Linked DNA regions of Anolis sagrei. The protein of the gene in region 1 purifies or fractionates together with the protein of each later gene. This does not show direct contact. Links are inferred from orthologs where the notes say so. Each region holds a gene or a part of one and is shown on either strand. Other genes may lie near its edges.

Evidence for each region.
Region 2: the proteins of PTGES3 (region 1) and URI1 purify together in Homo sapiens (affinity purification with mass spectrometry; 3 studies listed by BioGRID and IntAct, with this or other methods). This does not show direct contact. The link is inferred for Anolis sagrei from reciprocal best matches to the Homo sapiens genes PTGES3 and URI1.
Region 3: the proteins of PTGES3 (region 1) and SMYD2 purify together in Homo sapiens (affinity purification with mass spectrometry; 3 studies listed by BioGRID and IntAct, with this or other methods). This does not show direct contact. The link is inferred for Anolis sagrei from reciprocal best matches to the Homo sapiens genes PTGES3 and SMYD2.
Region 4: the proteins of PTGES3 (region 1) and FKBP5 purify together in Homo sapiens (affinity purification with mass spectrometry; 4 studies listed by BioGRID and IntAct, with this or other methods). This does not show direct contact. The link is inferred for Anolis sagrei from reciprocal best matches to the Homo sapiens genes PTGES3 and FKBP5.

What each region holds. Positions count from the first base shown.
Region 1 is NC_090022.1:137,197,316-137,204,813, reverse strand, and holds the start of PTGES3 (prostaglandin E synthase 3), read right to left. Parts: upstream 3,009-7,498; 5' UTR 2,674-3,008; coding exon 2,672-2,673; intron 1-2,671. UniProt on the Homo sapiens protein: Cytosolic prostaglandin synthase that catalyzes the oxidoreduction of prostaglandin endoperoxide H2 (PGH2) to prostaglandin E2 (PGE2).
Region 2 is NC_090028.1:40,036,968-40,044,682, reverse strand, and holds the start of URI1 (unconventional prefoldin RPB5 interactor 1), read right to left. Parts: upstream 3,008-7,715; 5' UTR 2,651-3,007; coding exon 2,600-2,650; intron 1-2,599. UniProt on the Homo sapiens protein: Involved in gene transcription regulation. Acts as a transcriptional repressor in concert with the corepressor UXT to regulate androgen receptor (AR) transcription.
Region 3 is NC_090021.1:33,551,207-33,558,848, reverse strand, and holds the start of SMYD2 (N-lysine methyltransferase SMYD2), read right to left. Parts: upstream 3,012-7,642; 5' UTR 2,923-3,011; coding exon 2,738-2,922; intron 1-2,737. UniProt on the Homo sapiens protein: Protein-lysine N-methyltransferase that methylates both histones and non-histone proteins, including p53/TP53 and RB1. Specifically trimethylates histone H3 'Lys-4' (H3K4me3) in vivo. The activity requires interaction with HSP90alpha.
Region 4 is NC_090024.1:186,143,894-186,151,516, forward strand, and holds the start of FKBP5 (peptidyl-prolyl cis-trans isomerase FKBP5), read right to left. Parts: upstream 3,005-7,623; 5' UTR 2,939-3,004; exon of another isoform or gene 2,771-2,938; intron 1-2,770. UniProt on the Homo sapiens protein: Immunophilin protein with PPIase and co-chaperone activities. Component of unligated steroid receptors heterocomplexes through interaction with heat-shock protein 90 (HSP90).

The DNA.
Region 1 (7,498 bases):
CACATTATCCATACACTCCCAATTTTACAGTTGCTACTGAAAAATCACTCCAACGAATAGATCCATTGTGTGAAGAATTTCATCAACTTCTGCTTGTTTCTAAACCTTTAATGAAACTCTTGCCAAGTGTAGATTTCTCCTCACGTTTTTTAACATATTTGTTATTCAACAAGTGATATTATTATCCTAATAGGAATAGGCATGTTTCATCCATACTTCACCAATTATTTTACAAGTCCTCTTCTCTCAGTTTTAAATACTGGTCTCTCAACTAATTAGATATGGTTAGGAATATTGAAAAACTATTACAATCTTATAACAATTGTATATTATATATTACATGTAATATTACTAATAAAATTGCAGTATAGTGGCATAGTACAATACAGTACTATATAGTACTAATATTGCAGTGTGCTAATAATATATATATAATATTGTAATACTAATATATTAAATATAATTACTACTGATAATATATAATATATGTTAGAAACAGTATCATACGAAAGCTGACTGGCACAACCTGGGGATCACAACCAGATACAGTGAAGACATCTATCCCTGTGCTATGCTACTCTACTGCTGAGTATGCATGCACAGTGTGAAACACATCTCACCATGCTAAAACAGTAGATGTGGCTCTTAATGAGACATGCCACATTATCATCGCGTGTTTGCGCCCTACACCACTGGAGAAACTACACTGTTTAGCCGATATTGCACCACCTGACATCTGCCAGGAAGTAGTAACCAATAGTGAAAGGACCAAAGCAGTGACATCTCCGGCCCACCCCGTTTGGGTATCAGCTAGCATGCCAACGACTTAAATCAAGAAATAGTTTTCTAAGATCTACAGAGACACTCGCTGGAACACCTCAGCAAGCGAGAGTCCAAAAGTGGCAGGCTCAAACTCAGAACCTCAATCAATGGCTGATACCAAATGAGAGACTCTCTCCTGGGCACACAGAAAACCGGGCACCTTGGAAGGCACTGAACAGACTGCGCTCTGGCACCATGAGATGCAGAGCCAACCTTAAGAAATGGGGCTACAAAGTTAAATCCATGACATGCGAGTGTGGAGAAGAGCAAACCACAGGCCACCTACTCCCATGCAACCTGCGCCCTGCTACATGCACAATGGAGGACCTTCTTGCAGCAACACCAGAGGCACTCCAATTGGCCAGCTAGTGGTCAAATGACATTTAATAGAATACCAAGTCTGTGTTTTTTTGTTTTTTAATGCAATACACCTGTTTTGGTTCGCTCTTGACACGATAAATAAATAAATATACTGTTTAATTATAGTATATTTATAGTATATTTTAAATTGTAATGTTTTTGATTCTAAGCTGGGATAAAAATAAATAAATAATCCATGTTTTTAAAGTAACATTTCTAGGACACCACATTAATTCAATTTCTAGCCTCATATGCTGCACTGGTATCTTCTCTCACTAATTTTGCACCTTGCTTTTCTTTGTCCCCTTTTCTCCTGACTTCATCTCTCACTCTGGGAGCCTCAAAAGAAAGTGACTCCAACCCTCTTTTCAAACTCACAACAAAACTTGGGTCACAACTTAGACCAGCAACCATTTCCCATCTCTCAGCACATGTTTTAATTTACTCCACGAGACAACTGAATCGCCTGTTGCCAGATTTTATCCTAACCATTACCTTTAACTCCTGTATCCTTTGGGCCCATCAGTTGCATGGCCCAGATTTGTTCAGGCTGTGTTCAAAGAAACATCTCATACTCTCCAGTATAAAGATTTGATAGTGTATTTAATAGAAAATGAGAGTGCTCTGTAAAACCCCAAGGGTTTTCTTCAGATGGAGAACAAACTATCTCCACATGAAGGGGTCCTTCTCCCAGGGCCCTTCCATACAGCCATATAACCCAGAATATAAAGGCAGAAAATCCTACACTATCTGCTTTCTTTAAATACCAATATGTACATATATGTGTACACACATATATATGTGTGTGTGTATGACTGATATATGAGATAGCCTAAAGTCACAAAGGGGGATTTCATATACATTATATATAAGAAATAAGTTCATGTTATGTGTGAAAAAAAAGTAAATGGTGTCCAATATCATATCATATCATTTTAAATACAATTAAAAACATAACATATAATAAAATCTAAACATATAAAAGTAATATTAAAACCTAACATCAGTACATTATACCTGACATCAACAAATTACACTATATGTAGTAGGCAAAAATCTAAAATAACATAAATCTAAACAAAATATCCACATTAGTTTTGTGAGCCCAGCAAGCAAGGGTTCACAAAACCCAACCAGCAAGGGTTCACGAAACGGTGTGGGTTGGTTATATAGTCAGATGAGGTCACTGGGCTGGTGTGGACCAAAAAAAAGCCGAAATACAAATAGTACTCAACCAGAGGCCCGGCAATGATCTCTCGACCATCTAATCCTCCTTCCCCGGAATATTTTCCCTTGGAATATTTTCAAACTGGGCGGGTGTGGGGTTTGAACCCGTGGATGCCGGATCCGTGCAGCCTGTCGATATGAATAAGAGAACCCGGCCCATCTCCCGCCCCGGCGTCCTCAGGAGACGCCTGCTGCCCTCATGCCTTCCCTCCTTCCTTCCTGGCCCAGCCATTGCTCTGCCAACCCCTCCTCACTCACTCACATGGCAAACGGTGTTAACAGCAGCGGCGGCGGCGTGAGTCTTCTCCGCTCTGTCCTCCGTCTCCCTCCAGAGAGCTAGTCCGGGGAAGCCTTCTTCTCCCAAGGGCGCAGGGCTGAAGGTCCCTCGGCAAGGGCGAGAAAGCGCGGGCGAGGGCAACGGCGCCTCCTTCCTTCCTTCCTTGCCTCCTTCCTTCTCTCCCTCTCCAGGCTCAAAAGCCGAGTGAGGCCTGCTACCCACAAAGCACCGCGCGCTCACCCGCCCGCGCGCGCGCTCTCCCTGGCTCCCTCGCGCTCCTTCTCCAACGACGGCTCCCCAGAAGCTGGTGACGCAGCAAAACGCCCACCCCTCCCTCTTCCCTTCTCCCTTCCTTCCTCCCTCTTTCTCTCTCTCCCTCCCACTGGAGCCCGTCCGACTATGGACGCTGACAAGGGCGCATGCGCACCACTCGCCACCTCCTTGCCGCTTCGCCCTCCTCAACGGCGCGCACCTACCACAAACGGCCGGATGTTTCGTTCTCGCGCATGCGCTCCCTCGTCCTCTGCCTTGCGCACGCGCAATTCCATCTTTCGAGCACGTTCTCTCGAGGCGCCTCCGCCCGTTGGGCCGGGCCGGCTCGCACCCCCGGCGCATGCGTAGTTGCACTTTTCGCGCATGTTCTCCCTCTCTCTAGGCTTGCCAAGCTTCCAAGCACACTCCGGCGCATGCGCCGTAGAAGAAGACGAGCCTGTTCTTGATATTTGCCTCCCCCCACCCTATAAATTGTCAACCAGGTGAGAAAATTAATTCTGCTGGTGAAGTTGAATATTCATAATCATTTATGTCTGATGCTTTGTGTGCATTCAAACAATCAAGTGCATATTCAAAGCCACTGTGTGCACTACTGGGTTGTGTCTTTTCCGGGCTGTAGGCCATATACCAGAAGCATTCTCCCCTGACGTTTCGCCTGCATCTATGGCAGGCATCCTCAGAGGTTGTCACAATATGGGCATATAGCCCAGGAAACACAACAACCCAGTGATTCCGGCCATGAAAACCTTCTAGAACAGTGGTTCTCAACCTACCTAATGTCGCGACCCCTTAATACAGTTCATTATGTTGTGGTGACCCCCAACCATAACATTATTTTCGTTGCTACCCCATAACTGTAATTTTGCTACTGTTATGAATCGTAATGTAAATATCTGATATGCAGGATGGATTTTCATTCACTGGACCAAATTTGGCACAAATGCCTGATACGCCCAAATTTGAATACTGGTGGGGTTGGAGGAGATTAATGTTATCATTTGGGAGTTGTAGTTCCTGGGGTTTATAGTTCGCCTACAATCAGAGAGCTTTCTGAACACCAACAATGGAATTCTATCAGACCTGGCCATACAGAAATACCATGACCAACAGTAAATGCTAGAACGGCTTGATGGGCATTGACCTTGAGTTTGGGAGCTATAGTTCACCTAAATCCAGAGTGCACCCTGGACTCAAACAATGATCAATCTGGACCAAACTTGGCACGAACACTCAATATGTCCAAATGTGGACTCTGGTGGAGTTTGGGGAAAATAGACCTTGACATTTGGGAGTTGTAGTTCCTGGGATTTATAGTTCACCTACAATCAAAGAGCATTCTGAAGCCTACCAAACGATAGAATTAGGTCAAACTTCCCACACAAAACCCCCATGACCAACCATAATACTGTGTTTTCTGATGGTCTTTGGTGACCCCTCTGACACCACCTCGTGACCCCCCCAGGGGTCCCGACCCCCAGGTTGAGAAACACTGTTCTAGAAGACATTGTGTGCACTATGTTGATTTGCTGCAGAAAAAAGGAAGAAAATTGTGTTTGATCCATTGAGTGACCCACACAAAAACTCAGAAGTGAAATAAAGCAGAATTGTTTTTAAAATAGCATAAAATATACATTATTGAGTAGATAGAGATACAGTTAGAGACATGGACCTAACAACATGCTTCAGATCATGAGTTTTTCTCCAAGGACATTTTCATTTAGTCCTTATTGGTGCTTCACAATGTACCAGTATATTGTTAGATGCAGTAGTCAATATTCTAGGTGTGTCTGCTAAAGCCGGCAGTCAGTCTGTCTGTTTCCAAAGGTATTATAAAAACAGTTCCAATCTCACCACAGAATTATTCATGAACACTGTTCCCAACACAAGACCGGGATTCAAGCCAGAGAATACATTACAAACTGGAGGGAGAAAGAATAAGGAAAGTAAAACAGATAGATGAAATGTTTTTTAAAACCTGATTATCCAGCATGTTGACATTTCTGAGGGATAACCATATCCCTACTTTGTTAGCTGGCCCTGATTGTTTCATTCGTGTTTGGGTGCTGCATTTGGGGGTCCTTATGTAGACTTGTCCACAACTGCATGGTATACAGTAGACATTTGCAGTTACAGAAAGGAGGAAACTATGAAAATGAACAAAATGTGGCTACCAGTATTAAAAAACTTTAAAATCAGAACAATACATTCAGAGGAACACTAAAAAAAGGGGAATTTCAGACAGAAAACCAGGGCCAGATAACCCCTCCCAACAAAGGATTCCCCAGACAGGAAGCAGACAGGCTTTGAAGCTGCAAGGTCATTAAATACAGATCAAGGTGGCCAGTTGCAACATTCACACCTGCCTCAAGCAGACGAGAGCTCTTTCTCCAATCCTGGACATTCCACAGATATAGATACCTCACTTGCCTAGTTTCCAATGTACCTCACAACCTCTGAGGATACCTGCCATGGATGTGGATGAAAGATCAGGAGATAATGGTTCTGGAACATGGCCATACATCCCAGAAAACTCACAGCAACCCAGTGATTCCGGCCACAAAAGCCTTCAACAACACAATAATCACCTCTCAGGGTCTCAAAATCAGACTCAACAAGGAGAGTCCGGAGCCCTGGCGAGACAAGTGAAGCACCCCAGATTTTTCCCTAATTTTTCCCAAGTAAAGTCTCACCAAGTTGAAGAAAAGCCACCGAGTTGTATTTATTTTGTCCCAGCTGGTACAGATGTCAAACCGCAATCTCTTGCCAAAGTCGACATGTTTGGGAAGGGAGAAAAGGGTACATTTTATAGAAAATACAGAGTTGTCAGATTCAAACTTCCCGCCCCCTGCCCCTCTGCTGGCTTCGCGCTGATTGGCTGGAGTCATCAGCTGGAGGGAGGTGCGGCCGGCTTAGGCACGCCTCAGCCAATGGAGAAGCCAGCACTGCTTCAGCTCCTGAGCCAATGGAAGTCGAGGAGGCGATACAAGCAGGAAAACAATTAACCGAGAGGAAAATGAGTGGATTAAATGGAACTTAATGGTTTGTCCGATGGCCGGCAATAATCCGGACACTCCTCAAGATGGCCTGGTATTGTCCAGTAGTGTTGAAATATACAAAAGTGGCTGGCACAGCTGCCCAACCTTGATAATCTTCAGTTAAGGATATGGGATCAATTGATGATATCTGTGTGTGGATTTCAGCCGAGGGTGCAAAACAATGAGTGAGTCGGATGGGACATCCTGATCTTCCCTGAAGGCAAAATGTCCCATTGTTGACAAGTGACCAGGTTCACCATGGGGTGCCTTCCTGGGCGGTCATGCTCCGAGACCCAGGATGCACCATTGTTATTGCCATGCAATAAATCTTTGTTGGAGTCCTTAAGTCAATGGGGAATTCATCTCAGGAAATAGGAATTTCCCAAGGGTTTGCCATGCTGGGGTCACGAAAAAGTGGCTTTCCATATTTTTATACATAGACACATATATGGGGTTCATACAGCATGCACAGGGGAAAAGGGGGAAAAGGAAATTAATATAGAGAGTCATAGAGAGTCCAATATCATGAAGTTCATAGAGAGTCCAATATCATGAAATCATATAGTCCCTAAGTCATAAAAGGGAGTCCATGGGGCTTGGGGAAAGAGTTCCAGAAAGTTTCCAAAATGTTTTAAAAGTTGATAAAAGTTGTAAAATCCACAGGAGGCAAGTTGGAAAAGGTGCCCCAGAGTCAGAGTTCTTATGAGGTGACTGCCAGCACTGGAGATCAAGATCCACGGAGAGAACTACAGATCCTTCCTCACCAAGGACCAAGGCGGCCTGCTGATATCTTGGGTATCCTATGGGGTGACCGCGACAGTTTTCCAGGATCGGCAGGCTCACTGGGCATCCATAAAATGGTGGCAACGAGGCAGTATCTTCAGGGAAACAGCTGGGCTCCAGTTTGAGGTTTTGGAGGCAAAAATTGTTATTCCCGGGGCGGAAGGCTTAGTGGAGCGAAACTGAGATAGCCATTAATCTTAGAATTCCCCCGGAGAAGAATGGCACTGATTTTGAAGCGATCCGTTGACTCACGGATACAGGGGCCCAATGGGTTTACGTATCTACCGTTCAGAGGAACGCAGTTTTGGCCTCCCCAGGACGTGAAAATTGCATCCTGGGCAGGCTGGCAGCCATCTGCAGCCTGGGAGAGGAAAGATTTATACTGAGACGAGTTTGGAGGCAGTAAAAGACACAAAGTAACACTATTGAGAGAGAAAAAAATACAATTAATTGGTACTTTATTGGGGGGATTAGTTACAGTGTTAGGAAGGGGAAGAAAATGAAGTAATAAGAAGGCTTCTGGGTTGGAGCTGCTGCTGTGGCCACATTCATGGAGGCTGGCCCAAGTGGGACAATAGAGAACTGAGGAACTCCCTGCTGCAGGTCAGATCAGCTTGAAAGCAGGGAATTCTAGGTTTGACCTCAGTTTGTTGTAACATGCCCTTTGCAAGCCCATTATTTCCAAGCAGGCAAAAATTATAAATAAATAAATAGGGGTTAT
Region 2 (7,715 bases), on another chromosome or scaffold:
CAGGATTTTATCATTTTATCTTGTGCATTTGGCCCGCCCATTGTGTTTGATTTTCCATTATGTTATTTGGCTTCATTTATTTTATTGTGCTACTGTATGTATTTTATTCTGATGTAATTTTTGTTGTTTTGTATTTTATTTTGCTGTATTGTATCTTTGGGCTTGGCCTCATGTCAGCCGCCCCGGGTCCCTTCCGGGGAGATGGTGGCAGGGTATAAATAATGTATTATTATTATTATTATTAGAAGCACAACAAGATGAGTCCACAACAAACAAGCTCACTCTGCTGGCTGTTGTATAGAATCACAAGTCGAACACTCCGCAAGTGTCTAGGACTGTGTGATGTATCGGCGAATAATGTGTGCAGATCCCAGTATGGTGGTCTTATGCAGCTGTTGGTAATATTATTATTATTATTAGCTCCTATTATGATTATTAGCTCCTCCCTTACATATATACCTTTTTCCACTCTTATCTCATCCAGTGTTTTATCATTTTATGTCTTACATTTGGCCCGCCTATTGTGTTTGATTTTTCATCTTCTTATTTTGCACTGTTTTATTTTACTCTTATGTTTTACTTATTTTATTGTGATGATATTTTTGTTTTGTATTCATTTTGCTGTTATGTATTATCGGGCTTGGCCTCATGGAAGCTGCCCCAAGTCCCCTTTGGGGGAGATGGTGGCGGGGTATAAATAAAATTTACTATTATTATTATTATTATTATTATTATTATTTTAAGCTATATAAATAAAAATGTAATGTTAGTTTGTGGGATTAACATAACTCAGAAACCACTGGACGACTTGACACAAAATTTTGACAAAATATACCTAACAGTCCAACGAGTGTTCATCACCCCTAAAAACACCCCCTTCCCAGTAGAATGGACTTAAACCCCCCAAAATACACCATATATACATACAATCCTATACGCATACACACATACATACACACACGTGTATATTTGTGTGTGTGTATATATATATATATATATATATATACACCCAAGCACACACAAATATACACACACATACATATACATACACACACATATATATATACATATACACATGTATGCACATACATACACGCATAAATACACACAATTATGCATATAGACAAGCACACACATATACACAGTATACATATACACATATAAACACACAAATATATACACATAGATACACATCTACATATGCACACACGCACACACATATATATACACTAGCCATCCCCTGCCAGGCGTTGCTGTAGCCCAGTCTGTGTATATGTGTGTGTATATGTGTATAAATGTGGTTTTGTGCATGCGCTGGTATGCATTTTCTTTAATTTTTAGCATTTTGAGTCTATTCCCCTGTGTTTTTCAGTGTTTTTATGAGTGATGGTCACTTGTTGGCCTGAGAGGTGTTTTGTGTCCAAATTTGGTGTCAATTCGTCCAGTGGTTTTTGAGTTATGTTAATCCCATAAATGAACATTGCATTTTTATTTATATAGATAGTGCAATGAAACATGTCCTCCTCCTCGTCCTCTTATTTAGGGAGGGGGGCTGCTGTGACGTCGCTAGGGAGTTCCACAACCGAGGGGCCACCACTGAGAAGGCCCTGCCTCTCCTCCCTGCCTTTTTTCTGCTCCTTCTCCTCCTCGATCTCTTCAATAGGGAGGGGGCTGCTATGACGTCGCTAGGGAGGGAGTTCCACAACCGAGGAGCCAACACAAAGAAGGCCCTGCCTCTCCTCCCTGCCTTTTCCCCGCTCCTTCTCCTCCTCGTCCTCTTAATTAGGGAGGGGGCTGCTGTGACGTCGCTAGGGAGGGAGTTCCACAACCGAGGAGCCAACACAAAGAAGGCCCTGCCTCTCCTCCCTGCCTTTTCCCCGCTCTTTCTCCTCCTCGAGTTCCACAACCGAGGGGCCACCACTGAGAAGGCCCTGCCTCTCCTCCCTGCCTTTTTCCCGCTCCTCCTTCTCCTCGTCCTCTTAATTAGGGAGGGGGCTGCTGTGACGTCGCTAGGAAGGGGAGTTCCACAACTGAGGGGCCACCACAGAGAAGGCCCTGCCTCTTCTCCCTGCATTTTTCCCGCTCCTTCTCCTCCTCCTTTTTCCTGAAGGCTAATTAGGGAGGGGGGCCTGCTGTGACGTTGCTAGGAAGGGGAGTTCCACAACCGAGGGGCCACCACTGAGAAGGCCCTACCTTTCCTCCCTTCCTTTTTCCCGCTCCTTCTCCTCCTCGTCCTCTTAATTTGGGAGGGGCCTTCTGTGACGTCGCTAGGGAGGGAGTTACACAACCGAGGAGCCAACACAAAGAAGGCCCTGCCTCTCCTCCCTGCCTTTTCCCCGCTCCATCTCCTCCTCGTCCTCTTAATTAGGGAGGGGGCTGCTGTGACGTCGCTAGGGAGGGGAGTTCCACAACCAAGGGGCCACCACAGAGAAGGCCCTGCCTCTCCTCCCTGCCTTTTTCCTGCTCCTTCTCCTCCTCTTAATTAGGGAGGGGGGCTGCTGTGATGTCGCTAGGGAGGGGAGTTCCACAAGCGAGGGGCCACCACTGACAAGGTCCTGCCTCTCCTCGCTGCCTTTTTCCCGCTCCTTCTCCTCTTTACCTGGCCGTGCTGCTCCCTCACGCGGCCCCACTGATTCCCGGGGCCCTCCATGGCCTCCTCCTCCTCCTCCTTCTCCCTCTGAAGAGGAGGGAGGCCTGTCTCTGGGGCTCCTTTGGGCCCTTTTTCCCGCAGTTGTCCTCGGCTTCTCTCCACTCCAAGGGGCTCCTCTTCTGTCTCTGTCTCCTCTTCAGCAAGGCGCCTGAGTCCTATAGAAGTGTTTGTGGAGGGCCAAGCGCCGGCTCCGGAGCTTCATGGAGGGCGCCGAGGGGGCCCAGCCGAGAGCCGCCGCCGGTGGAAGACGCATCTCACACTCGCATCCCGAGCCAGGCCTCGCCGACGCCGCGCTCAGGAAATGCCGAGGCTTCTCTTCGTCCTTCTCCTCCTAGGCCCAGCCAGGCGCCGCGCTGCCTTCTGGGAGGAAGAGCGGGGAGACAGGCACGCCCCCTTCTTCCCCGCCTCCTCCTCCTCCTTATTCTGCCTACAACCCCCATGAGCCTCAGCCGCGTCGTTCCAGCACTAGGGCTTCTGGGAGATGAAGTCCAAAACACAAGGACGCCATTTTGGCGCCTCCTCAGGCCTCAAAAGGCCTCCAACTCCCACAATTCCTACCAGTTGAAAGGAAATATTACAGCAGGCCTTCCTTTCAAACGGGTGTTTTGGACTCAACTCATAGAACCCTAGAGTTGGAAGAGACCTCAGGGAAGAGGCCATCCAGTCCAACCCCATTCTGCCAAGAAGAAGGAAAATTACATTCAAATCGCCCCTGACAGATGGCCATCCAACCTCTGCTTAACAGCCTCCAAAGAAGGAGCCTCCACCACACTCCCCATTTGGCCAAGAAGCAGGAAATCGCATTCAAATCCCCCCTGACAGATGGCCATCCAGCCTCTGCTTAACAGCCTCCAAAGAAGGAGCCTCCACCACACTCTGAGGCAGAGAGTTCCACTTCTGAACAGCTCTCGCAGTCAGTTAGAATCATAGAATTGGAAGACACCTGGTGGGCCATCCAGTTCAACCCCATTCTGCCAAGAAGAAGGAAAATCGCATTCAAATCCCCCCTGACAGATGGCCATTCAGCCTCTGCTTAACAGCTCCAAAGAAGGCTCCTCCACCACACTGAGGCAGAGAGTTCCACTGCTGAACAGCTCTCACAGTCAGTTAGAATCATAGAATTGGAAGAGACTTCGTGGGCGATCAAGTCCAACCTCATTTGGCCAAGAAGCAGGAAAATCGCATTCAAACCACACCCGACAGATGGCCATCTAGCCTCTGTTTAAAAGCCTCCAAAAAAGGAGCCTCCACCACACTCCGGGGCAGAGAGTTCCACTGTTGAACAGCTCTCACAGTCAGGAAGTTCTTCCTCATGTTCAGATGGAATCTCCTTTCTTGTAGTTTGAAGCCATTGCTCCAGTTGTAAAAGACCTCGTGAGCCATCCAGTCCAACCCCATTCTGCCAAGAAGCAGGAAACTCTCATTCAAAGCACCCCTGACAGATGGCCATCCAGCCTCTGCTTAAAAGCCTCCAAAGAAGGAGCTTCCACCACACTCCGGGGCAGAGAGTTCCACTGCTGAACAGCTCTAACAGTCAGGAAGTTCTTCCTCATGTTCAGATGGAATCTCCTTTCTTGTAGTTGGAAGCCATTGCTCCAGTTGGAAAAGACCTCGTGGGCCATCCAGTCCAACCCCATTTGGCCAAGAAGCAGGAAAATCGCATTCAAAGCACCCCCGACAGATGGCCGTCCAGCCTCTGTTTAAAAGCCTCCAAAGAAGGAGCCGCCACCACACTCCAGGACGGAGAGTTCCACAGCTGAACAGCTCTCACAGTCCAGAAGTTAGAATCCTAGAGTTGGAAGGGACCTCGTGAGCCATCCAGTCCAACCCCATTCTGCCAAGAAGGAGGGAAATTGCATTCAAACCACCCCCGACAGATGGCCATCCAGCCTCTGTTTCAAAGCCTCCAAAGAAGGAGCCTCCACCACACTCCGGGGCAGAGTTCCACTGCTGAACAGCTATCACAGTCAGGAAGTTACCCATTGAAATGAAATATTAAAGCAGGCCTTCCTTTAAAGCAGGGGTGGGCAAATTTGGCTCTTCTCTCCAGATGTTTTGGACTTCAACTCATAGAATCCTAGAGTTGGAAGACATTTCGTGGGCCATCCAGTCCAACCCCATTCAGCCAAGAATCAGGAAAATCGCATTCAAAGCATCCCCGACAGATGGCCAACGATAGAATTGGGCCAAATTTCCCACACAGAACCCCCATGTCTTGAAGGGACTTGCTGGTGCGAGCCTGCCTTCCAGCCTCACGTGCTCTCCCTCGCCTACACATGTTTACTATGGTGCTATGTGCCGAGCACACCTGCTCTCTTCTCCCTGCTCAGAGTTTCAGAAACAGCCCTCCCCTTGGCTGAGAGGCCAGCTGATGGGAGGATTCACGGTCTGTTTCCAAAAAGGAAGAGAAGGGCAAGTGGAGAGATCTTCAGCCTCCTCTGCCAAAGGGGTTCCTAAGACCATCAGAAGTATATGTTTTCTGATGGCCTTTGGCTACCCCTCTGAAACCCCCTTGTGACCTCCAGGTTGAGAAATACTGCTCTAATTCATGGTGCAGAGAACTAAAATTGAGGTGGTTTCAAAGGGGAGGCGGAAAATCCCAGGATCTCCCCGTCTCTGGAAGTACAAATGCCTCTTTCATAACACCCCAAATTTGCAGCCTGAATTGTAATAGCAAAGCATTGAGAGTTATTATGCCAGGAGCCTTGTGTCCTGTAAACTTCTTTCTAAAATATATACAAGATCAGTCGTCATTATATAACTTTAGGTGAAAGCAACTAGAAAGTGCACTTTGAAATCAACATTTCCTATGGCTTCCCAAAACCTCAAATCTAGTCGGAATTTAATGTTGATTTTCCTCAAGTGCTTGCGGTCCTTCAGTTGAGGAACGGGAATAACCCCAGTGAAATCAGACATGTTATATTCATCTACACATTCATCCTTCTATCAAGTTTGGCATCTTTTTCATAATGGATTATGAGTCGTGGGAGTGGAACGGAGGTACGTCTTGTATCAGATTTCCCAGCCTTGTTTACTCCCATTAACCTGCAGGCTCTCTCATTATTTCTACGTTTATTTAACAGATTTTGTAAAACAAAAATGGCTTTTTGTGGGCTAACAATCACATGTTCTGATTTATTTATTTTTTATTTGATTGGGCTTGATTTATGTCATTTCTTTCTCCCAAAACTGAGACACAAAAAATACAAATGTAAAGAAAAACACAGAATGTAATAATACTGAATACAACCTTCCCTCCTTCCCTTTTATTCTTTCCTTCTCTCCTTTCTTCCTTCTCTTCCCTTCCTTTCCCTCCCTTTTCTTTTCCTTCCCCTTTCTCCCCTTTCTTCCTTTTCTACCTATTCCTGGACTGCAACTCCCAGCAGTCCTCCTGATCCATCTACCTACCTACCTACTTACCTACCTACCTACTTATCTCTATCTAATCCAGCGTTTCTCAACCTGGGGGTCAGGACCCTTGGGTGGGTCGCGAGGGGGCGTCAGAGGGGTCGCCAAAGACCACCAGGAAAACACAGTATTTTCTGTTGGTCATGGGAGTTCTCTGTGGGAAGTTTGGCCCAATTCTGTCGTTGGTGGGGTTCAGAACGCTCTTTGATTGTAGGTGAACTATAAATCCCAGCAATGACAACTCCCAAATGTCAAGATCTATTTTCCACAAACTCCACCAGGGTTCACATTTGGGCATATTGAGTATTTGTGCCAAGTTTGGTCCAGATCCATCATTGTTTGAGTCTCCAGTGCTCTCTGGGTGTAGGTGAACTACAACTCCAAAACACAAGGTCAACGTCCACCAAACCCTTCCAGTATTTTCTGTTGGTCATGGGAGTTCTGTGTGCCAAGTTTGGTTCAATGCCATTGTTGGTAGAATTCAGAATGCTCTTTGATTGTAGATGAACTATAAATTCCAGCAACTACAACTCTCAAATAACAAAACCAATCCCTCCCCAACCCCACCAGCATTCAAATTTGGGCATATTGGGTATTTGTGCCAAATTTGGTCTAGTGAATAAAATACATCCTGCATATGTGATATTTACATTACGATTCATAACAGTAGCAAAATCACATTTATGAAGTAGCAACAAAAATAATTTTATGGCTGGGGGTCACCACAACATGAGGAACTATATTAAAGGGTCATGGCATTAGGAAGGTTGAGAACCTTTCCTATCTATCTGGAGGATTGCTGGGAGTTGCAGTCCAGGAATAGGAAATTGGAAATATGCAAGGATTGGGATGCTCTCAAAGAAATCCAAGAAGCAAGCTTACATCTAGGAAGCAGTGCATTTGGATCATCCTCCTCTCCTAAAGGGCCTGGTCTAGGTGATACTGGGAGCTGTAGTATGGAAGAGAGTGTGGATATACTATTGTGTGTTTTGTTTGCCAAGGGAGTTGTTTTTGCACATGCACTGTAGCATCTTTTTGCTTTTTTGGCTCTTTAAGTCCCTTCTGCTGTGTTTTTCAGTGTTTTTATGAGCAATGCTCACTCATTGGCCTCACTCATTCATCCAGTGGTTTTTGAGTTATGTTAATCCTACAAACTAACTGTATTTTTATTTATATAGATTACACTAGTTAAAAACAACATTACAATGGGTGTTCTGGAACAGCTGTTCCAGGAGCTCCAATTTTATTTGCTTTGAATTAAATGTTTGTTTGCAATCCCAGGCTTGGGATTTTGCAGCAGGGTGGCTTCCTGTTATAGTTTGCAGTCATAGGGCAAGCCCCCTGTCCATCTTCATTTAGCTTTGGTTCCGCCCCTTTTTCTGGATTTTTGGGAAGAGAGAGGAACCATTTTAGTCAGTCCACACAGAGAAGCCTTTCACACAGGACATAAAACCAAGAGCTCCTGTAGAAAGCTTAGTCTTCTACGGCTTGGCCGGGGAGATATACAGCCTACAGCTTGGCCGGGGTTATACAGCCCCACAGCTTGGCCGAGGATCATACAGCCTTACAGCTCCTCTGCTGAGGGACTTCAGCCAGCCATCACAGCAACCTGAACTCCTTCTTTTCTCCTGGAAGTCTACAAAGCTCTGCTTGGTAA
Region 3 (7,642 bases), on another chromosome or scaffold:
AAGGTGAAAACAAGAAGACAGATGCTTTTTTGAGCTGGTATTCATTGGTAGTTTCCCATCCAAGTGATAATCAGTGCTGATCCTGTTCAGCATCCTAGATGAGACTGGATCTGGGGCCTTTGCAGTATGCACAACTCACAATACTGTGAGTCATTAGGGTTTGGTTCCAGGCCTGCTGTTGATACCAAAATCTGTGGATGCTCAAGTCCCATACTATACAGTGACATAGTAAAATAGTGTCCCTTATATAAAAAGACAAAATCAAGATTTGCTTTTGGGATTTGCCGGGGGGGGGGGGGGGGGGGAAGATATTTTTCAAGCTAGATAAAGATTTTCCACTGACATTAAGTCCAGCTGTTTCCGAGCCAGTGTTTTCCGTAGACAACACTGGCTCAAAGTCATGTGGTTGGCAGGACTGCATGGAGCACTGTTACCTTCCTGTCAGAACAGTACCTGTTGATCTACTCACATTTGCATGTTTTTGAACTGCTAGTTTGGCAGAAGCTGGGGCTAATAGCGGGGGCTCATGCTGCTCCCTGGATTTGAACCTGCAACCTTTCAGTTAGCAAGTTCAGCAGCTCAGCGGTTTAACCCACTGCGCCACGGGGTGCTTCCATTTTAAAGCTATGGATGGTCGAATCCATGGATACAGCAGGCTGATTGTGTATTATTTTTCTGAGATATTGCAGTCATTGATATTCATTATCAGTTTCTCATTCAAGATGTGACCAGAGCTGATCCTGCTTAGGAACCAAGATCAGACAGAATTTGTTGCTTTTAGTGTATTTACAGTTCACAATATGGCAATATCTTGTTGCTGAAACTATCTCCTGCACTGCCACATACATATACACCTGGAAGAAAGGACAATCTTATTGAGATATTAAGGCCTTTAGTACTCAATTGCAGTTTTCCGTGCACATTTTCTCCTACATTCCCAAATAATAGACACAACCAGCTCGAACAACCATGAGTGCATCTGCACTGTAAGGAGCCCTTGGTGGCGCCATGGGTTAAACCCTTGTGCCGGCAGGACTGAAGACTGACTGGTTGGAGGTTCGAATTCAGGAGGGTGCAGATGAGCTCCCTCTGTCAGTTCCAGCTCCCCATGAGGGAAACTCCCACAAGGATGGTAAAACATCAAAACATCCAGGTGTCCCCTGGGCAATGTCCTTGCAGTCTCCAGTTCTCTCACACCAGAAGCAACTTGCAGTTTCTCAAGTTGCTCCTGACATGAAAAAAAAACCAACAACACAGAAACATGGATGAAGCAGGACATGGGTGCATCTACGCTGTAGAATTAACACAGTTTGACACCACTTTAACTGCTATGGCTCAATGTTATGAAATCAATGGAGTTACAGTTCTACAAGGACTTGACTCTTCTCTGCCAAAGTCTGCTGGTGCCTCACCAAACTATAACTCCCAGGATTCCGTCGCATGATGCCATGGCACTTAAAGTGGTGTCAAAATGCATTATTTCTACAGCGTAGATGCACCCATGTCCTGCTTCATCCATGTTTCTGTGTGTATAGATGAAAATAATCAATGATAAGATTATGATGGGTTTTAATTCCGCATTGGATGATTCAAAACACAAAGAAACTGCATGCAAAACATGGCAAAGAAGTTGGAGAAAGGAAATGGATGGAAGCAGAACTCACACAATCACTTACAAACCCCGCATAGGGTGTGTTGTTCTTCATATTATTGTGTGCCTCCTCTCAGAACAACCCTATGATGGAGTTTTCTGTGGCTGAGAGGGTGAATTCATCTTCCACATCAGGCATGGGCAAACTTCAGTCCTCTAGGTGTTTTGCACTTCAACTCCCACAATTCCTAACAGTGTAGGTCAATGGTTTTCAACCTGTGGGTTGCCAGATGTTTTGGCCTTCAACGCCCAGAAATCCTAACAGCTTGTGAACTGGTTGAGGTTTCTGGGAGATGTAGGCCAAACCACCTGGGCACCCACAGGTTGAGAACCACTTTTGGTCATGTCAGGAGTGACTCCTGGTGTGAGAGAATTGGCCGTCTGCAAGGACATTGCCCAGGGGACGCCTGGATGATTTGATGTTTTTATCATCCTTGTGGGAGGCTTCTCTCATGTCCCTGCATGAAGAGCTGGAGCTGTTAGAGGGAGCTCATCTGCCTCTCCCTGGATTCGAACCTGCGACCTGTCGGCCTTCAGTCCTGCCAGCACAGGGGTTTAACCCACTGCACCACTGGGGGCTCCTGAGAACCACTGTCCTATGCTGTTAGGAATTGTGGGAGTTGCAGTCCAAAAACACCTGGAGAGCTGAATATTGCCCATGCCTGATCTACACTGTAGAGCAGGCCTGCCCAACTTGTAGCCCTCCATGTGTTTTGCTGGACTTCCGCTCCCAGAATTCCTCACTATTGGACAAGGGTGTTTGGGAATTGGCGCCCCAAACACCTGGAAGGGCTTCAGTTTATGCAGGCCTGCTGGGGAGTTAATGCAGCTTGACACCAATGGGGCTCAATGCTATGGGGGTTGCAGTTTTACCAGGCCAAACTATAACTGGCCAGGGTGCCAAGAGCATTGAGCAGGGAAGAAGAGTGTCAGCCAGGACGCATTCATCCCGCAGCAGCCCTTCACTTGAGATGGAGGATGCCGGCGCTAGGACCCGGGGGGAAATCCTGGGGCGCTGACGCCGCCCAGGCCGAGGCTTCCTGCCGGCCTCTGCTCCTTCCCTCTCCTCGCCTTCCTTGCCTTTACCTGGCGAAGCAGCCCTCGCAGTGGTTGCCCCTCTCGTTGACGGTGAGGACGCAGGTGAAGGCCGGGCAGGCGAAGAGCAGCTCCCCGGGGACGAAGCGGCGCCGGGCTCGGAGACCCCTGCCTCGGCCGGGGCTCTGGAAGCGCGCCAGACCCAGCTCCTCGCCTTCCTTTTCGGAGGAGCGCATGGCGCCGGTGCCGCCGAGGAGGAGGAGGAGGAGATCGAGGAAGAGAAAGAGGAGGAGGAGGAGGAGGCTGGCCCGTTGCTATTAATGGCGCGCCGTCACCCGCAGCGGCGCCTGGCCCCAGAGCCCAAGGCACATACATGGGCAGAGAGAGCGAGAGGGGCAGGCGGAGCAGCAGCAGCACCACAGCCAGCCGTCCACGGGAAGGAGGGCCGCGCCAGCCCGCTGGGTCCTAGAGCCCGTCCGCAGACATGCGCGCTCTAGGACCCAGCGTTTCCATCCCCGCCTAGGTCAAGCGTAGGCCTCGTCGGTAATAGTATGATAGCTGGGTCTGGAAGTGCAGAGCGTTACGGAGAGGCCGCATCGCTCCTTCGGGAGCGCAGTTTGTGGAAGAGAGCCTTAGCTAATGTAAGCCAGGCCGGAGACAGATACTATAGAAGGAATGAAGGAGTTCTTTAATTTATTTATTTATTTGTTTATTTACAGTTCTTATATTCCACCCTTCTCACCCCGCAGGGGACTCAGGGCGGATTACAGTAAACACATATATGGCAAACATTCAATGCCAGTTTGACAAACAACATTTAACACACAAATACACTGAGGCTATTTAACTTTTTTCTGGCCGCCAGGGGAGCTGCTGCTTTTCATCATCCATCAACGACACCGATGAAGTTCTTCCGCATTCCACATTCCCCGGAGTCTTTTTTCTTTATGGCCTCATAAATTAGTTAAATTTAGCCTCCCACACAAGGTGGTACCTTATTTTCCTACTTGACAGATGCAACTGTCTTCCGGGTTGCAAAGGTCGACAACGGGCTACACAATGGCTGGACACCCACTCCAGCCCGGGCTGGCTTCGAACTCATGACCTTTTTTTGGTCAGAGTGATCTTAATGCAGCTGACACTCAGCCAGCTGCACCACAATCCCGGTGAAGCCCTTACCCTAACCCTTACCATAACCCTTACTCTAACCCTGAACCGTACCGTAAGCCTAAGCCTTTACCCAAAACCATACCCTAACCTTTACCCAAACCCTTACACAAACCCTAAACCTTACCCTAACCAAAACCCTAACTCAAACCCTAAATCTTGCCCTAACCCAGTGTTTCTCAACCTGGTGGTCGGGACCCCTGAGGGTAGCCGGCTTCAGCCCCCCCCCCCCCCCCAAATTCTCATGGTGGTTCGCGAAACGTTCTTACTGGTACATTATTTAAACTGTTATGTTTATTCATATCATGATCTGACCACCATACTCAATATATCCCATTTGCATGGGGGTATTGGGGTAATGATACAAAAGGTTTGCTAGGCTAGACCCTCTTTCACTCAGACTCAGCCCCCCCCCCCCGCCCCCCCGAAACAAAATCCTGGTTACGGGCCTGCCCTAACCCTTACCATAACACTAATCCTAACCCTGAACTGTACCATAAGCCTAACCCTTTACCCAAACCCTAAACCAGGGGTCTTCAAACTTTGTAAACAGAAGGCCAGGTCACAGTCCCTCAAACTGTTGGAGGGCCGGATTATAATTTGAAGTAAAAAAAAGGATTCGCATGCACACTGCACCTATCTTATTTGTAGTGCAAAAACCACTTAAAAACAATACAAAAAGTAAAATGAGGAACAATTTTAACATATATAAACTTATTAGTATTTCAATGGGAAGTGTGGGTCTGCTTTTGGCTGATTAGATTGGATTGTTGTTGTGTGCTTTCAAGTCATTTCAAATTTAGGATGACCCTGAGCGAGGGCCGGGTAAATGACCTTGGAGGGGCCCCGGGCCTTAGTTTGAGGACCCCTGCCCTAAACCATACCCTAACCCAAACCCTAAACTGTACCGTAACCCAAACCCTAAACCTTGCCCTAACCCTTACCCTAAGCACCCCCTCCTTTTTATCCTTCCTTCGCTCTCCCCATGCTCACTCCGCCCCCTCTCTTCCCTTATTCACAGCCGCCTTTGCGGCATCTCCGTAATGCTCGGAGCTTCCAGACCCAGCTATCTTACTATCACCCTGGACCATACTGTAAACCTAAGCCTAACTCTTTACCCAAACTCTTACCCAAACCCTAAACTTTACCCAAATCCTTACTCTGAATGCTAACCCAAACCCTAAACCTTACCCTAAACCATAACCCCTTACCCTAACCATAACCCAAACCCTAAACCTTACCCCAACCCTTACCCTAAGCACCCCCCGCTTTTTATCCTTTGCTCTCCCTACTCTCACTCCGCCTCTTCTCTTCCCTTATTCAGAGTCGCCATTGGGGCATCTCCATAACACTTGGCGCTTTCGGACCCAGCTATTGTACTATCACCACCTCGTCTGTGCTGACCATGCATTCAATGCAGTTTGAAGCTAGCTGCAAACCGCATTGTCTGAACTCCTGTGCAAAGCTGCTTCCTATGGTGCCTGAGGGGATTTCCACACAGGCCTATAACCCAGAATATCAAGGCAGAAAGTCCCACAATATCTGCTTTGAACTGGGTTACCTGAGTCCACACTGAGATAATATGGGATTTCTTGCCTTGATATTCTGGGATATAGGGCTGTGTGGAAGGGCCCTGAGTCTGGGTGAACGATATAGCAGCCTAGATTCATGCAGTCCTGTTCAACTGCATTATATGCCATTGTAGATGGGGCCACAGAGCAAGAAACACCCACAAAAGAGTGCAAAATGAAACGCTTCAGTGCTTCATGGTTTGCGGTTCCATCTCCTCTGCCATGTAATGGAGTTTTGAAACTGCATTATGTAGTTAGTGTAGGCTCACAATGCAGTTGAATGGCATTATATGAGTCAACACCAACCTGGAATTGTGCTATGTAGTCAGTGTTGGCTCATAATGCTATTCAACTGCATTATATGAGTCCACACAAACCTGAAATTGTATTATGTAGTCAGCGTAGGTTCACAGTGTCGTTCAATGCAGTTAAATGGCATTCTATAAGTCTACACCAACCTGAAATTGTATTATGTAGTCTAGTCAGCATAGGCGCACAGTGCGGTTCAGTGCAGATAAACGGCATTTTATGAGTCTACACTGACCTGAAACTCCATTATTTAGTCAGCGTAGGCTCACAGTGTGGTTCAATGCAGTTGAATGGCATTATATGAGTCTACACCAACCTGAAACTGAATTATGTAGTCAGTATTGGCGCATAACTCTGTTCAACTTCATTATATGAGTCTAAACTGATCTGAATCTACTTTATGTCATCGGTGTAGACTCACAGTGCTGTTCAATGCAGTTAAACGGCATTACATGAGTCTATACTGACCAGAAACTGCATTATGTGGTCAGTGCAGGCTCACAGTGCGGTTCTATGCAGTTAAACGGCATTATATGAGTCTATATCGACCTGAAACTGCATTATGTAGTCAGTGTTGGCTCATAATGCTGTTCAACTGCATTATATGAGTCTACACTCACCTGAAATTACTTTATGAAGTCGGTGTAGGCGCGCAGTGCTATTCAATGCAGTGAAATGTTATTATATGAGTCTACACTGACCTGAAACTGTATTATGTAGTCAGTGTATGCTCAAAGTGTGGTTCAGTGCATTTAAATGGCATTATATGAATCTACACCAACCTGAAACTGCATTATGTAGTCAGTGTAGGCTCACAGTGTGGTTCAATCCATTTAAACAGTATTATGAGTCTACACTGGCCATATAAGGTAGTTTCAAACTGCATTATATGGCAGCATAGGTGGTGCTCATGTCATCACCATCTGGGGCCCCAAACTGATTCCAGGATTTCTGGTGTAATCATTTGCACAGCGAAACCACTTTCTTCAATACTGGTTTGAAACTAAATTAAATGGTCTGTGTAGATGGGGTCCAGCTCCTCGCTCAGAAAGGAGACCAGATTGACATTAAGCAAGTGGTATAAGGGGGAAAAAATTAAAGGGACAGGACAAAAAGTGCAGAAATATGGGCAGCTAGCCCTGTGTGGGTATGTAGGTATAAGTATATATGTATGTATATGTGTGTGTCATCCTAGCTGCCAACATTTTTGGACTCTTGTCATAATACAAGGTGTTCACTAAAAGGTATGCATCCTTGTTGTATACATTCCAGTGTACACAATCCTATATATACATAGATATATATATATACATACATTCACATATACACATAGGAGTTATACAATAACAAAGTGTATAAATCTGTATATAGGTATGTGTCTGTGCACACACACACATCTACACACACACATACGCATACATACACACACATATACACACATACACACAGAAATATATTCAATAACAAGGTTGCATACATTTTAGGGCACATTTTATTTATTTATTTATTTTATTTAAGGCATTTATATCCTGTCCTATCTCAACCACCGCAGGGGGACTTAGGGCAGCTAACAACCAGCACAGCACAGTGCCAACAACAGAGAAAAACAAGCATAAATATACATATTATAATAAAAACAATGTAAAGCATGAAAGCAGTTTGCCCTGTATATATGTATGGGTTTGTCTGTGTGTACATTTAGGGTTTTGACTTTTGCATATTTGATTGGTCATGGATTTCATTAAAATGTTCTTTAAGAAAATCTAGGTCCTTTAGTTCAATTATATGATTAAGTTACTCTAGTCATGAGGGGAAACATAAGAGAGGTGTCCTCTGTAGGAATTTCCAGGTCTTCCAATGCTATTACAAGTCCACTTCTAGCTAATGTTTTTGATTTTCACAGGAATCC
Region 4 (7,623 bases), on another chromosome or scaffold:
CCCTTGGAAGGGAAAATCACTCTTGGAAGAGTTATCCTGGGGAAAAGGAGTCTCAATTGAAGCTTTATCACCAATCCCTGTTTCAACAACAAACCAATTTTTCAATAATAATAATACTTTATTTGTATACTGCCCAAAGCTTATAGACCAGGCATGGGCAAACTTCGCCCCTCCCTCCAGGTGTTTTGGACTCCAACTCCCACCATTCCTCACAGCCTCAGGCCCTCACAGCCTCAGGAAGGGGCCTGAGGCTGTGAGGAATGGTAGGAGTTGGAGTCCAAAACTCCTGGAGGGCTCATGTTTGCCCAAGCCTTGTCTAGACAGACATACAGACAGACTGGAGTTACACTTACAAATGTAAATAAATCCGACTTACATACAAATTCAACTTAAGAACAAACCTACAGGACCTATCTTATCCGTAACTTGGGGACTACCTGTATGACATCAAGAAGTGTTATACATTGACCCACAAACTACAAAAGATGTATTTCCCAAGGCTTTAATGGCCAGAATCACCGGGTTTCTGTGAGTTTTCCAGGCTGTATGGCCATGTTCCAGAAGCATACTTTCCTGACGTTTTGCCTGCATCTATAGCAGGCATCCTCAGAGGTTGTGAGGTCTGCTTGGGAAGCCCACGGAGTTAGCTGACGGCGGGTTTGAATGGGGAAAACAAAACGCCTCTTTTCCCTCCAATAAACAAACCAACCAACCTCTGGTTGCTATCTTTTCAATTTCCTGACAATATGAAGAAGGGGGGGGGGGGGGGGAGAGAGAAAGTAATATGAGATCTGAAATTCCCTCAAAAGGAGGGGAGAAAAGCCTGTTATTCTCCACCTCCTCCTTACATAATGAAGATGAGGCACCAAGAGGAGAGAGAGAGGAAGAGAGAGGACGGCTCATCACAACATCATTAACTTTGGGTTTTTGTGAGTTTTCCGGGCTGTGTGGCCATGTCCCAGAAGCATTCTCTCCTCACGTTTCGCCTGCATCTATGACAGGCATCCTCAGAGGTTGTGAGGTTTGTTGGAAACTAGGAAAATGGGGTTTAAATATCCGTGGAAGGTCCAAGGTGGGAGAAAGAACTCTTGTCTGTTAGAGGGAGATGTGAATGTTTCAATTAGAATAATACAAGTTGGAAGAGAGCACATGGGCCATCTAGGAGGGCGACTAAAATGATCAAGGGTCTGGAGAACAAGCCCTATGAGGAGCGGCTTAAAGAGCCAGGCATGTTTAGCCTGCAGAAGAGAAGACCAAGAGAAGACATGATAGCCATGTATAAATATGTGAGACTAATTCATAGGGAGGAGGGAGCAAGCTTGTTTTCTGCTGCCCTGGAGACTAGGATGCGGAACAATGGCTTCAAACTACAAGAAAGGAGATTCCACCTGAACATTATGAAGAACTTCCTGGCTGTGAGAGCTGTTCAGCAGTGGAACTCTCTGCCCTGGAGTGTGGTAGAAGCTCCTTCTTTGGAAGCTTTTAAACAGAAGCTGGGTGGCCATCTGTTGGGGGTGCTCTGAATGCAATTTTCCTGCTTCTTGGCAGGGTGTTGGACTGGATGGTCCACGAGGTCTCTTCCAACTCTATAATTCTATTATTCAATCCACTTTTTCCAACCCTGACAGATGGTCATCCAGCCTCTGTTTAAAAGCCTCCAATGAAGGAGCGTCCACTACACTCCAAGGCAAAGAGTTCCACTATTGAACAGCTCATACCGCCAGAATGTTCTTCCTAATGTTCAGGTGGAATCTCCTCTGCTGTAATTTGAACCCATTACTCCGAGTCCTAGTTTCCAGGGCAGAAGATAGGAAGCCTACTCCCTCTTCCTTATGGCACTCTTTCACATATTTATACATGGCTACTATCTCCTCTCAGCCTTCTCTTCTGCAGGCTAAACATTCCCTAGCTCTTCAAGACACTCCTCATAGGGATTCATAGTCTCCAGGCCTTTGATCATTGGCCACCTTGATTAACATTGAATGGCCTAGCAGTTTCAAGTTCTGGCTTCTTACTGCCTGAGAGAAAAGTCAGGAGCCCCTGGTGGTACAGTGCCGGCAGGACTGAAGACCGACAGGTCACAGGTTCGAATCCGGGGAGAGCGCGGATGAGCTCCCTCTGTCAGCTCTGGCTTCCCATGCAGGGACATGAGAGAAGCCTCCCACAAAGGATGGTCAAGCATCAAAACATCCTGGCATCACCTGGGCAATGTCCTTGCAGGCGGCCAATTCTCTCACACCAGAAGCGACTTGCAGTTTCTCAAGTCACCAAAACAAGAGAGAGAAACGACAGAAGAGAATGCTTCTGGAATATGGCCATACAGCCTGGAAAACTCACAACAAGCTTCGACAAGACATCATTAACTTTTCCCTCCGTGGTAAACGTGGAGTTTGTACAATGGGAAGAACAGAAAACACACGGAGTACAGAACACAACAACACATGCAAAGCAGGAAGGGGAAGAAGCAGAGATGGATCTGGGTTGTAGAAGTTTTCCGGACTGTCTGGCTATGCTCCAGAAGCATTCTCTCCTGACGTTTCGCCTGCATCTATGGCAGGCATCCTCCGAGAGGTTGTGAGGTCTCAGGAGCGAACATGGCCATACAGCCCGAAAAACTTACAGCAACCCAGCGATTCCGGCCATGAAAGCCTTCGACAATGCAGAGATGGATCTATTATCCCAAGCGTAGTATGGTATCACATTTCCCCCTCCAGTTCCAGCCTTGCTCCCCCTTTCCTCAGCCTACGAGCAGCGTCTCCTCCTCACTCACAGCGATAGCAATGCTTCCCTACGACGCCTCTTGGAAGAGTTATGGATGGGCTGATACCGCGAGGGGGGAAGGCGCTCTCTGGGCACAAGGTGGGCCCCCTCCCCTTGGGAACCAGCGCGCCTCTTCCTCTCCACGGAGCCGGGAAGGCAGCCAATGGCCCACGGGTACCTGCTCCTCGCCCCGCCGCTCCTCCTCCTCCCTCTGTGGCTCCTGCCGAGAATGACACCCGCTACCGGCGCTGGCCGCCAGTCCCCCCCGGGTGAAGCCCCGCCTCGCGCTCCCATTGGCCCCCGCCCCTGTCCGTCCGGGTACCGCTTCCCCGCCATTGGCCGCTTCTCCTTTTGTGTGTGTTTGTGTGAAAACATGGCACCGCCTTCCTTTTTTCACAACCCGCTGCCTGAGGGAAGGGGTCCCAACTTGTCTCTGGAGTGGGATAGAACTCGCGTGTCACTTACTCGGTGCAAAATGAAGACACGTGTCCTCTCCCCTGCGCCTCACATCCTTTATAACACTGTGGAAAGCATTCTGGTGTCAAACTGCCTCCATTCTACAGTGTAGATGCAGCCTCAGTCTGCATCCATCCGTGTTGACTTTATTATACTCCTTTGCAGTTACTTGCCCTGGCTCAGTGCTATGAGCTGTAGTTTTACAAGGTCCTCAGCCTTCTCTACAGGTGCCCGACCAATCTATAACTCCCAGTATTCCATAGCACTCAGTAATGTATCAAAGTGTGCTAATTCTACAGTGCAGATGCCACCTCAATCTGCATAATCCATGTTGACTTTATTGTACTGTTATGCAGTTAATTGCCCTGGCTCAGTGCTATGAGCTGTAGTTTTACATGGTCTTCAGCTTTCTCTACTGGTGCCTCACCAAACTACAAATCCAAGCAGGCATGTAGCCAGGGGGAGGGGGGCTTGAGGGGCTTCAGCCCCCCCCCCCCCCCCGAAATTCTCATGGTGGTTCACGAAAAGGCCTTACTGGTGCATTATTTAAACTGTTATGTTTATTCATATCACGATCTGATCACCATGCTCAATATATCCCATATGCATGGGGGTATTGGGGTAATGATGCAAAAGGTTTGCTAGGTTAGACCCTCTTTCACTCAGACTCAGCCCCCCCCCAAACTCAGCCCCCCCTGAAACCCCCCCTGAAAAAAATTCAGCCCCCCCCCCAAACGAAATCCTGGCTACGGGCCTGACTCCAAGTATTCCATAGCACTCAATAAAGTGATTTCAAAGAGTGTTAATTCTACAGTGTAGATGCCACCTCAATCTGCATAATCCATGTTGACTTTATTATACAGTTATGCAGTTAATTACCCTGGCTCAGTGCTATGAGTTGTAGTTTTACAAGGTCTTCATCTTTCTCTACTAGTGCCTCACCAAACTACAACTCCCAGTATTCCATAGCACTCAGTAAAGTGGTTTCAAAGTGTATTGGTTCTACAGTGTAGATGGCTCAGTGCTATGAGTTGTAGTTTTACAAGGTCTTTAGGCTTTCTCTACTGGTGTCTCACCAAACACCCAGTATTCCATAGCACTCAGCCATGTGGTATCAAAGTGTGTTAACTCTACAGTGTAGATGTCACATCAATCTGCAGCCATCCATGTTGACTTTATTATACTGTTATGCAGTTAATTGCCCTAGCTCAATTCTCTGAATTGTAGTTTTACAAGGTCTTTAGCCTTCTCTACTGGTGCCTGTCCAAACTACAAATCCCAGTATTCCATAGCACTCATTGATGTGGTGTCAAAGTGCATTAATTTTACTGCAGAGATGCCACCTCAATCTGCATCTGTGGCATTAAACTGTCTTAATTCCACAGAGCCTCTCTTCTCCTAACCCGAATGACTGACCATTCAGATTGTATGCAGTAAATTGCCATGACACAATACTATGAGTTGTAGTTTAACAAGGTTTTACAAGGTTTTTAGCCTTATCTACTGGTGCCTGTCCAAACTACAGCTCCCAGTATTCCATAGCACTCAGTAAAGTGGTGTCAAAGTGCACTAATTCTACAGTGCCTCTCTTCTCCTAACCTGACCATTCAGACTGTATGCAGTTAATTGCCATGACTCAATACTATGAGTTGTAGTTTAACAAGGTGTTACAAGATTTTAAAACTTCTCTACTGATGCCTCACCATACTACAACTTCCAGTATTCCATAGCACTCAGTAAAGTGGTGTTGAAGTGCATTAATTCTACAGTGTAGATCAGGCATGGGCAAACTTCAGCTCTCCAGGTCTTTTGGATTTCAACTCCCACAATTCCTAACAACTGGTAGGTTGCTAGGAATTGTGGGAGTTGAAGTCCAAAACACCTGAATGGCTGAAGTTTGCCCATGCCTGGTGTAGATGCTCCATGAGAATCATCCTGTTTTCTAGTCAGTATGGATGGAAGCAGACTGAGGGTGCATCTACATTGTAGAATTAGTACACTTTGGTACCACTTTACTGAGTGCTATGGAATACTGGAATGTGTAGTTAGATCAGGCACCAGTACAGAAGCCTAAAGATCTTGTAAAACTACAACTCAGAGCACTGAGCCATGGCAATTTACTGCATACAGTATAATAAAGTCAACGTGGATGGGTGCATCTACACTATGGAATTAATGCACTTTGATACCACTTTACTAAGTGCCATGGAATACTGGGAGGTGTAGTTAGATCAGGCACCTGCTGAGAAGCCTTGTAAAACTACAATTCGCAGCACTGAGCCAATGTAATTAATTGCATAACAGTATAAAAAATCAACATGAATGAATACAAACTGAGGGTGCATCTACGCTGTGGAATTAACACACTTTGATACCACTTTACTGAGAGCTATAGAATACTGGGAGTTGTAATTAGATCAGGCACCCATTGAGAAGCCTAAAGACCTTGTAAAACTACAACTCATAGTACTGAGCCATGACAATTAATTGCAAACTAACAGTATAATAAAGTCAACATGGATGGATGCAGACTGAGGGTGCATCTACACTGTGGAATTAACACACTTTGATAGCACTTTACTGAGTGCCATGGAATACTGGGAGTTGTACTTAGATCAGGCACCCGTTGAGAAGCCTAAAGACCTTGTAAAACTACAACTCACAGCACTGAGCCATGGCAATTAACTGCATACTAACGGTATGATAAAGTCAACATTGATGGATGCGGACTGAAGTTGCATCTACACTGTGGAATTAACACACTTTGAAACCACTTTACTGAGTGCTGTGGAATATTGGGAGTTTGGTGAGGCACCAGTAGAAAAGCCTAAAGACCTTGTAAAACTACAACTCATAGCATTGAGCCTTGGCAAATAACTGCATACAGTATAATAAAGTCAACATGGATGGATGCAGACTGAGGGTGCATCTACACTGTGGAATGAATGCAGTTTGTCACCACTATCATTGCTATGGCTCAATGCTATGGAATCATGGCGGGGGCAAGAGTAGTGAGACCTCACCAAACTACAGCTCCCAGGATTCCATGGCAGTTAAAGTGGTGTCAAACTGTTGAACTTCCACAGTGTAGATGAAAACGTGCTCTTCGTGTGGCTGGGTTCATGGGCTGTGTTTTTGTCCCACCTTTCTCCGGATGGGTACAAGGGCCCGAGGGCTCCCTCCCTCTCTTTCTCGGCGTGGATTGCGCCCCGAGTGTTTATGTTTTCTTTGTTTTTCCGGGAAGGTCCGCCGTGTGTTACGAAACCTTGATCTTTTTCTCTCTCTCTCGGCCAAGACTCAGCCGCGCGGCTCCAGTGTTTACACGCACAAAGGCAGCAAAGCGAAGGGGAACCGGAGAGGGCATCTAGAGGGGCCCTTTCCCCCACGGAAAGGAATACTAAACCGTCATCCCTGAGGAAGCTGTGGTCGAAGAACCTAGAAAGGTGAGTAGGAGTCGTGGGTCTTGCCTTGGGGGCATCTACACCTTAGAATGAATGCTTATTATGCTCTCAGTGCCTCAATGGAATCATGGGAGTTGTCGTTTAGGGTGGCAACAGCATTTTTTGACAAGACTCAAGGGAGGCCTTGTAAAACTCCAAATCATTGAGCTCTTGCAGTTAAAAGGGATAGAATTACAACTCCCAGGATTCCATAGCATTGAGCCATGGCAGTGAGAGTGATGTCCATCTGCATTCATTCTAGATTCACCTAATACTTCATCACACTATGAATCCAGTTTAAATTCACTTTCTGCCTCCTGCAAAATTCTGGGGTTTGTAGTTTAGCGAGGCTGTTAAAGTATCCTCCCTAAACTACAAACCCCAGAATTCTGCAGGAGGCAGCAACTGGATTTAAATTAGATTCATTCTCTAGTGTGATGAGATCACAAATGCAGTATTTCTCAATCTTCCTAACCCTTTAATACAGTTCCTCGTGTTGTGGTGACCCCCAACCATAACATTATTTTTGTTGCTACTTCATAACTGTAATGTTGCTACTGTTATGAATGGTAATGTAAATATCTGATATGGAGGATGTATTTTCAAATTCACCGGACCAAATTGGGCACAAATACCCAATACGCCCAAATTTGAATACTGGTGGGATTGTGGGGACAGGACTGATTTTGTCATTTGGGAGTTTGTAGTTGCTGGGCTTATAGTTAACCTACAATCAAAGAACTTTCTGAACTCTAACAATGATGGAGTTGAACCAAACTTGGCAAACAGAATTCCCATGACCAACAGAAAACCCTTGAGTTTTGGGATTGATTTTGTCATTTGGGAGTTGCAGTTGCTGGGATTTATAGTTAACCTACAATCAAAGAGCATTCTAAACTCCGCCAACAATGAAATTGAACCAAGCTTAGTACACAGAACTCCCATGACCATCAGAAAATACTGGAAG